Caenorhabditis elegans: one gene and its partners. The protein of the gene in region 3 purifies or fractionates together with the protein of the main gene of each other region. This does not show direct contact. Each region holds a gene or a part of one and is shown on either strand. Other genes may lie near its edges. The genes, in order: C09D4.2, Y54F10BM.3 and unc-24.

Region 1 (3,757 bases), on a different chromosome or scaffold from region 3:
AATTTTACCTTTGTGAATGCCACACATACTCCTGCAATGTGCTCTGCGCCGGGAATCGGAAGAGAAAAACAGACTGGTGGGGGGTTTCTCACTGAAAATTATTAACAATTGTTTTTTTATGTGAAACAAAAGTTCTGTGAAATTTATATTTAAATAGCAAAAAATTAGCAGAGTTAGAAATTCGCGAGTTTGAAAGTTGGATTAGTAGTTTCAACTCGCTTTTTCTGAATTCCTTTTGTGGGATATCTGAATTTGAGAATTATTTAAACATATTCATATGGAACCCATTTGACCGCGTATTCCATCTTAAAGTTCTTTACATACAAGATATTTCTTCACTGAAATAATGTCCATCAACTCCAATCGACAAATCCAAGCCAATGGAAACTGGGTTATAGGTTGCATTGACACAAACTGAATTAAAAGTATTGGAAAATTAAGAAAACAAAATTTAAGGAAAACTATTACCTGAATGTCTGAATTCTGGAACAGAAATTTCTAGGCAGCAAGCACAATTTCCGTGTACACAAGCACATCCGTTCTCGTTTGATGAACCAGTTCTCAGAGACAGTTCTGGAAAGGTTTATTACAATTTTAATTAGCCTTTATGTATTTTTTTTTTCTCATTCCGAATTTCAGTTTTTTAAAGTTTTGTTTTGGCTTGCTGGCTTGAGGCTGCTTGAGCAATTGTCTTTGTTAACAACGTAAAACAGAATACAATTTTCAAAACCTTTTCAACAGACCTTTCCGAACAACTTGCTTCGAAGTGGATACTTTCATTTTGTATGAATCCGTGTGCACAGTCATATGAGTTGTATTTCTATTACCCAAGGAAACTATTATTTCATCTGAAAATTAAAATTTTTAGAAAACAAGAGGATTGCTGCTAGTCAGTAAGAGTTTGGCAAATTGCCAAATTTTCGATAAACTCGGTTTTTTTTTCGGAAATTTTGAACGTTCTTGCACTATTTTTCTTAACAAAAAATATTTCTTAACTTGATTAAAATATAAAAGTCGTAGAAAACATTTTGCCTATTTGGTAGAAGAATTTTTTTTTGATTTCAGAACTTTTTCAGATAAATTTTTTGGAACATTCGAATATTCCAAAATTATAACAGTTGAGAACTGAATCAATACCATTTTTAAATGTTATTAAAAATATCAAACCAGTTTCGCAAAGTTTTACTGTGAAAATTTATCATTTTAGAATCATAGGAGTCATACCATAGGGCGCTAATCCACTTTTAAATTTCAAAAAACTTACTCTGATTAGCTCCATCGTCTCCCAATTTAAAAATGATTTTGTCAATTTTTTCCGATAATCGGAGTCTTCCATTCAATTTCGATGAGTTTCCATTAAATTTCACATATTTCGAAACAATATCCCATTTTTTGTTGAGAATATCGATTGAATTAATATTTTTGTTGAAATCTTTCACAGAAAAATCCACAATATTTTGATTATTCTCAACTGCTGAGGTGGAAATTAACGGTAGGATAAGCAGAAGAAAAACAGAAAGAAAGAGGTGCATTTTGGAAAAGAAATGAAGATTTGGACGAATGAAAAGGGAGAAGGTCAGTTGACTCTGTTACACAACCAGATGTTCTCCCAATAAATAAATCAAAGATAACATCTGCGGATATGTTTTTTTTGACAACTGGCTAGAATGATGAGCTTGAATCGATGGTAAAGATTGATGCGGTAAACATAAATTACAATAATTTGTTTATTAATTTCCTTGAATAAATAGGTTTCCAATGCTGAAAGGTGGAGTACGACATGTTGTAAAATTATTAAGATCCACGCAATCGAAATATCCAGCAGTGCTTTAAAATCCTTGAAAAGTTTGGAAAAACTTAATTTTTGCCCCTGTTTTACTCGAAAAAAAATATCAGAAAAGAAACTTCGGTACAAATTCAATTTGTTCAGAAGAGTACAGTGCCAATCTGCTATGAGATATCCATTCATTCTGGGATTTCCAGACATTTTCAAACTTGTTAACCAAAAAATCAGTATAATAATTGGATTAAGCATATCAAATTACATCTATAACTATAATTTCATTTTAAAATTTCAATAATTGAGAAAATAAGAAAAAAGTTGGAAAAGTGACATGCTATATTCTTGCCTTCAAGGCCGGATTCCTCTACCACAATTTTAAAGAATATTAATTCAGATTGAAAGTTGGAAAACTTGGTTCACGCTTCACTCAAGTGTAATCAAAGTTTGATCCAACTTTCCGTCAACATATCACTTCTAGAAGATTCCAGGAGACTATGTTTTGCCAAAGTTTGGCTCAGGTTTAACCACTTCTAATCCAAGTTAATATTCAATTTGCCAAACTTGGGAAAGAAACTAACGCCGTGATAGTTGGAACTTACAATAAGATGTAAAATACTTTTAAAAAAATACATTTATTTACACAGCACAAAAATCTAGTAGTATAGTTGAAACCAAACGACGACGATGATGATAATGAATACAAAAAGAGGCAATCGGTTCTTTACTTTGGATTGGAAAAGAGTGAGAGAAAGAGGAAATTGAACTGGAAAGTGCTCGATTCGATTCGAGATTTGATGAGAAGAGTAGTGATGAAGAACAGTTGTGAGACGAGTATATGCCTATTGGTCTGAAAAATGTATATTTTGATATAGAAAATAAAAACAATAAAACATACTCTCACAGGCACGATCAGTGTAGTTAGTAGCTCCTTGTTCAGCCATAATTGCCATATCAGACATGACAGAAGCTGTTTCGGTGAGCTCCGAATGTTGAGATTCTTCCACTTGCCAGTCCCACTTGCAACGATCAGGAATCATATTTTCCATACGAATCTGGAAAAGTAAAGAACATATTATTGTTTAATTGTAAGGAATATGGAACGTTAGGTACTATCTAATTTATTAGAAAGGTGATTAGTAAAGTGCTTGGATCTAACTAAAAATATCCATCTAGACTAATTTTAGTTACCTCATTAATCAATGCCTTCAAATGTCTGTACTCTGGTCTGATTTCGAATGAGTATCCATCGATCATATCCATGATCGTCTCAAACTGTCTTGGAGTTCGATTGAAGAACAAACGACGAGATTCATTTCGAATTGAGAGCTTCGATTGTCCAACAAGTGTACGATCAGACATATGACGCCATGGCAACTCTCCAACCAACATCTCAATGAGCATGTAGAACCAGCATTCAACATCATCACGTCTTCCAAGATCCATACGTTTGTGTGCTTGGAGACTTCCATATCTTACAGTACCTCTCCATCCAACCTCTCCACGAGACTTCAGCTTCTTGTTATCACGATCAATAAACTTCTTCGCAAGTCCAAAGTCAAACATGAAAATTGTCTTATGCTGTCCATTGTCGCGTTGTCCTGGAGCAAAGTTGCTTGGCTTGACATCACGGCTCAGGTATCCAATATTGTGAAGCTCTTCAATAGCTTCAATAGTTTCAAGAGCAATCTTTGTAGTCGTATTGAGAGTGAATGAACGAGTCGGTTGTTCGGCACGAAGACGGTAGAGATCTTTTCCAAGAATACTGATTATCATGTAGTTGTATTCACGACGGATGGTTCCCTAAAGTTTGATACGTTTTTTTGATTTTGTAATCCAAAATCCAAAATCCATGAATTCATAGTCTATGATATAACTTACATAATCAATGATATCACAGAAATGAACTCCATTGTGGCGTCTGATACTCAACAAAACCTTAATTTCCATTGGAAGCATCCCTGTTGAATACTTTTC
Region 2 (3,757 bases), on a different chromosome or scaffold from region 3:
GACCCAAAAATTTTTTCGAAAAAATATTTGTTTTTCAAAACTTTATAACTTTGTCAATTTTCAAGATTTTTGACTCAAATTTATTTTTATTAAAGCTCTAAATATTTTTCTATGAAATCTGACAATAAAATTTAAAACAATTTATAAAACTACAGTACCACAACACTTTTCGTGGCGGGATCCAAAAATTTAACAAAAATTTTTTTTTGATTTTTTTTCAAAACTCCATAACTTTGTCAATTTTTAAGATTTTGAGCTCAAATTTATTTTGAATAGCGCTCTAAATGATTTTCTTTAAAATCTAGTACAGTAATTCATAGCAACTCATAAAACTACAGTACCAAAAGACTTTTTAAGGCGGGACCCAAAAAATTTTGAAAAAATTTTTTTTTCAATTTTTTCAAAACTCCATAACTTTGCCAATTTTCAAGATTCTGAGCCTAGATTAGTTTTAAATAGTACCCTCAATATTTTTCCATAAAATATAACATAGGAATTTACAAGAACCCGTAAAACTACAGTACCCCATAACTTTCCGTGTAGAGACCCAAAAAATTTTTGTTTTTTTTTTTGAAAAATTGGAAAAAAATTTTCAAAATTTTTTTTTTCAAACTTAAATTAATTTTACTGATTTTGTTGAAGTTTTTCGCTATATTAAAATTGATTTTAAAAAATCTGCACCCATTGCTTAGGTGCAAAATGTATCCCTCTACCCCTTTTCAGGTACACTAAGAATTCAGCGAATTCAGATTTGCCAAACATCAAAACAATGGAATTTTTCATTGTTTCTCACGTGTAGCAACTGATAAAAACTGATAAAAGATATCAAAATTGATCCTATGACGTCATCATGTCTTATGACGAATTCCACCCCCCGCTGACTGTGAGAAAAGTATTTAAAAACTTGATTTTTCAAGTTTTTCCCTAAAAACTTTTTACACTTTCTCTATGTAAAAGTTCAAAAAAACATGCGAAAAACTACAGTAACCTTATTATTTTTGATATTTTTTATTCAAATTTCTGAAATTCTGACTCTACCTATCAATTATGGTGCATCGTTGAACTCTGTACACTCGGATGACCTGAGTGCTGAGGATTATCAAGTTTTGAGGAAAAATGAGACAAAAATTGAGTAAGTTCATTGATTTTTTGCTAATAGAAAGGTTTTTGAAATTTTGGAAAAATTAAAAAAAAAATTTTTTTGAAAAAAACTTGTTTAAAAATAATAATTCCGCCAAATTATCGATTTTTTTGGTCGAAATCTCAAGTTTTAAATGTTTTCTTTAATTTTATTGAATTCAGCGTCATTGATTACCCCTATCCCAAAATTTTGGGCCTTCTAGCTCAATTTTCAAGAATTGGCTGAGTAGCGACCCATTGCGATACGGAGTTTGGTCAGTTTTAGTGCAAATGGCTAAAAATTTAGGATTCTGGGTTTCCAAGTATGGCAAATTTAATGATAATGTTAGTTTTTCAAAACTATGACTCCGTATCGCAGTTCTGAGTCGCTACTCAGCCAAATTTCAAAATTTTGAGATTTTGAGCTAGAGCTCTGAAAACCTATAGATAAGGGTAATCAATCACGCTGAATCCAAAAATAACTTCTAAAACCAAAAATTTTAATTTTTTCCAGAAGAATCCACAGAATTCAGCAATTTTTCAAAGCGGAGCACCACGAATCCACGTGGCGAGACTCGATTTGCAGTGCATTCCACTCGTTTTCACTGTTCCCGCCAAACTGCTTTGCGGCTCCGCCAAACGACAAATAAATCGATATTATTGATTTATGAAATGACATGATTTTTTTCTACGACGCACAATAAATTTTTGTGATTTTCTGATTTTTTTTGATTTTTTTTTGGGTCTCGTCACGAAAAGTTGTGGGGTACTGTAGTTTTTACCGGAATTTCTAAAATTTTTATTTTATCTTTTACGTGGGTAGTTTTCGCACATTTTAAGCCAAAAATGAACAAAATATCTCAAAAACTAAAAAAGTTACAAAATTTTTAAAAAATTGAATAAAAACGTAAAAACTCAAAAATTGCCAAAAAACATTCCACGTCGGGAACCACGTCGTTTGATTTTCGAAAGTCGATAAATCGATATTGAAAAATTTATTTCACAATATTCAAGATGAAATTGTGGTCGATTTTATTGGTGACCATATCGATTTTTGGCATCTGCCACGTGGAACCATATGAGCTAAGTAAGTACGGGGGTTTGACGCCAAGATACGGTTCGATTCTACAAAATTATCGGATTTTTCGGGAAATTATCGATTTTCTTGAGAAATTATCGATTTTCTGGCGGAAATATCGATTTTCTTGCTAAATTATCGATTTTCTTGCGAAATTATCGATTTTTTCGCGAAATTATCGATTTTTTCGGGAAATATTGATTTTCGGGAAATTATCGATTTTCTGGCGAAATTACCGATTTTTCGCGAAATATTGATTTTTTCGCGAAATATTGATTTTCGGGAAATTATCGATTTTTTCGCGAAATTATCGATTTTTCGCGGAATTATTGATTTTCTGGCGAAATTATCGATTTTCTTGCGAAAATATCGATTTTCTTGCGAAATTATCGATTTTTGGCGAAATTATTGATTTTCTTGCCAAATTATCGATTTTTCGCGAAATTATTGATTTTCTTGCGAAATTATCGATTTTCTCACGTGTCGAAAAGTTGCCCTTATTTTTTATTTCTGTCAAGAATGCAATTTCAGGATTTAATATAGGAAGAGGCAGATTTTCTTGCGAAATTATCGATTTTTTCGCGAAATTATCGATTTTTTTCCCGAAATTATTGATTTTCCAGGAAATTATCGATTTTTAAAAAATTATCGATTTTTAAAAAATTATCGATTTTTAAAAAATTATCGATTTTTAAAAAATTATCGATTTTTTGCGTAATTACTGATTTTCGATAAATTATCGATTTTTTCGCGAAATTATCGATTTTTGATATTTTCGATGAACACGTGGAGTTTGTTATTTATTTCTTTTTGAAAATGACGTGGAGAGGACGGTAAAAAAAAGCCACGTGGCCATTGCGATTGCGAAATTATCGATTTTTGATAATTTATCGATTATTCGCGAAATTATCGATTTTTCAACAAAAATTTATTGATTTTTTCCAGGTTTCGTCGATTGGCCTACACCCGCCCCGCCGACCTCAACAACTCCACCAGTGTAAGTCTATCCGTTGTCCCGTTAGTTTATCCCGATGACCGCTCTTTTTCAGATCCTCAACCAAACCACCACCTGCTGAACAGTTTAATTCGCTGACCGACATTCTCGACCTAATTCCAATCGAAGTGTAAGTTGTGAAAATTTGACATCGATAATTGCTCGGCGGCGAAAAATTGGTTTTTTTTTTTCGAAAAATCGATAATCTATGTTGATTTTATTGATTTTTTTGGTCGGATTTTTGAAGAAAAATCAATAATTTTTATTGATTTTTTGTTCAAAAAATCGATAACTTGCGTCATTTCTTTTATCGAAAATCAGTAATTTCGCAAAAAAATCGATAATTTCGCAAGAAAATCAATAATTTCGCAAGAAAATCGATAATTTCGCGAAAAAATCGATAATTTCGCAAGAAAATCGATAATTTCGCAAGAAAATCGATAATTTCGCAAGAAAATCGATAATTTTGCAAGAAAATCGATAATTTTGCAAGAAAATCGATAATTTCGCGAAAAAAATCGATAATTTCGCGAAATTATCGATTTTCTTGCGAAAAAATCAATAAT
Region 3 (3,757 bases):
TTAATTTCCAAAAATTCTGACAATTTAAAAAAGCTTTTATTTTAGGTTTAATTTTTTGGTTTAATTTAAGGTTTAATTTTTTAAATGCTACATACATTTTACCAAAATTCAAATATTCGAAATTGAAAAATCCAACCTAAATTTAAATTTCGTTTTATGCTCAAGAAATTTCATAGAAGTTTCTACTTTAATCAGCCGCTAAGTGCAAATTAATGAACTGTATTTCCTATTTTAATAGCCATATAAAACTCCGTCTCAAACTACAAACATTCCAGCGTCCACCACCACCATGCGGACTTCCACCATTCCTTGAGGATCTTCCTTCTGATGTTCAAACCAAGATAACTGAAATCTGGAAAGATTACAAAGAAGGAGACAAGTGTTATGAAGAACAAGGATTAACTCGTGAAATCATGGAATCTCTTCCAAAGGATGTTCGTAAGAGCATTCACAAGAGACCACCACTTCCATTCCTTCGTGGACTTCCAAAGGACATCCTTGCCAAGTTTGATGCTATTTTCAAGGATAAGTCAATCCCATTCAGTGAGAAGCCAGAGAAGATTGATGCTCTCGCTCAAGAAGTTCTTACTGGAGATAACTTGAAGAAATTCCAAGAATTCAAAGAGAAAAAGGAGAAGGAAATGCAAGAGTACAAAGACAAGGTAAGAATAAAAAAAAAGATTTTTACTCAAAAGGATGTTGAATATCATTCTTTCAGGAATCGAAGCTCTCCGCAGCTGCCAAGGTAGCCAACGAGAAGCTTGAAGCTCTCGGAAAACAAAAGTTTGCAATCCTCGAAGAACTTGATGAGAACGTGAAGGATGAGCTTTTCGATTTGTGGAAGAGCCGTCCTCATGGACCACCAAGACATCACTAGACGATAATTTGACAGCGATTTTTGTAAATATCTATGACAGAATTTTATTCATTCCCGATTTCCCGATCACTTTTAATTTATATTGAAAAATACATATATTTAAGATTGAATAATAAAGATTTCTATAAAAACTTTTGTGTACAAATAATAATTGGTTCCCAAATCTAAAGATGGAATAGTAAAGATATTATTAAAATATACGTAAATTGGGCGAAAAACATTCTGAATTTTTAAATTTTCAAATGTTTAAAACATGGTTTTGATAAATTTCCAAATTTTCCAAAGTGTTTGAATTTTTGAGCTAAAACTCAAGAATTGCTCCAAACTTAAACCTACAATGTGTAAATACAAATTTCAAAAAAGCTACTTTTTTTGGTCGACTTCCAAAACGTTGGCAGGTACAACTGAGTTTCTACCATATTCAGACTGTGAAATAATTTCAATTTTTGAAAAGTTTTACTATGATATTTGTTCATTTTAGCACGATAGGAGTGGTTTTAAAGTTTTCCCCACCGCGCGGTGCACCGCCAATACTTTACCTTGAGAATTTAATTAAAATGTAAAACTCGTAGAACATACTTGTTGACTTCCAAAACTATAATAGATTAAAACTGTGTGCATACACTTTTTCATGTAAATAAAACACTACCGCCTACCTTTAAAAAAATTTAAATTACAAAGTCTTCAATTTTGACTTCAACAATTTCCAACCTAACCCCTAAATTTTCTCATCGTATTCTTGGTTTGTAATGTGTGACAGACACCCTACCATTATCTGTGTATGAGTCTTTTGGGACACTCTTCTATCCAATGTCATCCGTCCTCTCAAATGCAAAAATAAATGCATTTGTGCTCACGGAGCCAAAGAATCGATGTGTGGTCCCGGACGCCAGAGACGCAGACATTCGAAACGACTAAAGCAGATGCTCAGTGTTAGAGCTCTTCGTCTCTTTCTCACACAACTACTTCATCTTTCTCTTGCTCCATTCAATATGACGTTCTCTTCTTCGTACAAATATTCGGCGCTGGCGCAAAACGATCCAGAGGCACCAGAAGAATTAGAAATGAACAGTCTTGAAGGATATTCTGCAGTCGATTTTGGTGATCCAAGTCAAAGTGTAATGGAATATGGAATGCCTGAAGGTTCATATGATTCCGTTTTTACATATGCTCCTTACAACGATCTCGATAAAATGGGATATATGGGTCCAGCAAGGTAATTTTTCAACAAAAAAACTAATTAACTTTGATATAGATGAAAAATTAAAATTTTCCAATGTTATCTTTCAGTTAAAATGGAATTAAAGTTTTATTAAATATTTTAAGAATTATAATTTAGCGATTAACTTAATTTTCATAAAAGTGTTTTACAACATGCATATGAACAATAAGAATCACTATTCAATAATTTTTCAGGCAAGGAATGATGCTGGGAAATAAATACGGAAACTTCACATACACAAGAGATTATGGTGTTAATATGGAAGACGATGTGAGTTTTTATTTAATAAATTAAATTTTGGTTTTCTTTATCAAAACTTAATGTGAAATTGAGCCATTTAGGAAATTATTTGATAGTAAAACTTTGAATTGGTTTTTTTGAAATATTTTTATTTTCAGTAAATAAAAAAGTTGAAATTACTCGGTTGTTGAAATTCGCCAAAAAATGTTCTACAATTACTATGATTTTTTTCCATCTGAGCATTGTAGGCATTTGAACAAGCAACAGTACTCTAAATTTCTTAAAAAGCATACATTTTTTGCAGATTTTGGCAAAATAGAAACCTTAACAAAAATGGAAATATCTAAACTAATTGAAACACACACGAGACAATTTAATTAAAATATACTTATGATATCTTAAACATGTTTTTTTTCAGATAAAACCCCTGAGCGCCATTGAACTGTTGATCTTCTGTGTTTCATTTTTGTTTGTTGTGATGACAATGCCCTTATCATTGCTTTTCGCGTTAAAGGTAGTAATTATAATTTTCTAGAGAACCGTTTCTCAAAATTTGCTTAATTTTTCAGTTCATCTCTACCAGTGAGAAATTGGTAGTTTTACGCCTGGGAAGAGCTCAGAAGACAAGAGGACCTGGTATAACTTTAGTTATTCCATGTATAGATACAACACATAAAGTAACAATGTCTATTACTGCGTTCAATGTCCCACCACTCCAGGTTAGCCTTGACAATATTTTGTCTAAAAAAAAATTTTAATTTACAGATAATAACCACAGATCGTGGTCTCGTGGAACTCGGGGCAACTGTTTTTCTAAAAATTAGAGATCCAATTGCAGCTGTTTGTGGAGTTCAAGATAGAAATGCATCAGTTCGAACATTGGCAAATACAATGCTATACAGATATATCAGCAAGAAACGGATCTGTGATGTAACCAGCTCACAAGATCGAAGAATAATTTCTGCTAATTTGAAGGATGAGCTGGGATCATTTACGTGTCAATTCGGAGTTGAAATCACTGACGTGGAAATTTCCGATGTGAAAATTGTGAAGGAAGGAGAGAACATGGGGATGTCTGCGTTGAGCAGCGTTGCGAAATCCGATGCTGGTCAACAGTTGTGGCAAGTTATTGGACCAGTATTCGAAGACTTTGCAAAGGAATGTGCAGCTGAAGAGAAAGCAAAAGAAAATGCACCATTAGTTGATTTGTCGGATGTTCCCTCAACTTCAGCTGCGGGAACTTCTACAGATACACCAAATATTCCTTCCATTGATATCGACCATCTTATATCTGTGGCAAGCCTAGCTATGGATGAACACTTAGTCCGTCTAATTGGCAGAGTTTTCCAAATTAATTGCAAAGATATTGAGCCCATTTGCATTGATTTGAAACATGGATCTGGAAGTGCGTATAAAGG

What was found.
Region 1: the proteins of unc-24 (region 3) and C09D4.2 fractionate together in Caenorhabditis elegans (co-fractionation; one large-scale study listed by BioGRID). This does not show direct contact.
Region 2: the proteins of unc-24 (region 3) and Y54F10BM.3 fractionate together in Caenorhabditis elegans (co-fractionation; one large-scale study listed by BioGRID). This does not show direct contact.

What each region holds. Positions count from the first base shown.
Region 1 is NC_003279.8:5,489,275-5,493,031, reverse strand, and holds the start of C09D4.2 (DUF4773 domain-containing protein), read right to left. Parts: upstream 1,609-3,757; 5' UTR 1,533-1,608; coding exon 1,265-1,532; intron 849-1,264; coding exon 744-848; intron 574-743; coding exon 469-573; intron 415-468; coding exon 325-414; intron 92-324; coding exon 9-91; intron 1-8. Other genes in the region: C09D4.3 (Protein kinase domain-containing protein), read right to left, coding at 2,623-2,630, 2,679-2,835, 2,972-3,583, 3,662-3,757.
Region 2 is NC_003281.10:2,279,953-2,283,709, forward strand, and holds the start of Y54F10BM.3 (Tyrosine-protein phosphatase domain-containing protein), read left to right. Parts: upstream 1-2,072; 5' UTR 2,073-2,133; coding exon 2,134-2,206; intron 2,207-3,142; coding exon 3,143-3,194; intron 3,195-3,246; coding exon 3,247-3,321; intron 3,322-3,757. Other genes in the region: Y54F10BM.22 (Neuropeptide-Like Protein), read left to right, coding at 969-1,132, 1,634-1,769.
Region 3 is NC_003282.8:7,978,014-7,981,770, forward strand, and holds the start of unc-24 (Band 7 domain-containing protein), read left to right. Parts: upstream 1-1,856; 5' UTR 1,857-1,869; coding exon 1,870-2,093; intron 2,094-2,285; exon of another isoform or gene 2,286-2,293; coding exon 2,294-2,369; intron 2,370-2,757; coding exon 2,758-2,853; intron 2,854-2,908; coding exon 2,909-3,058; intron 3,059-3,104; coding exon 3,105-3,269; intron 3,270-3,314; coding exon 3,315-3,757. Other genes in the region: ora-1 (Onchocerca Related Antigen family), read left to right, coding at 276-662, 719-877.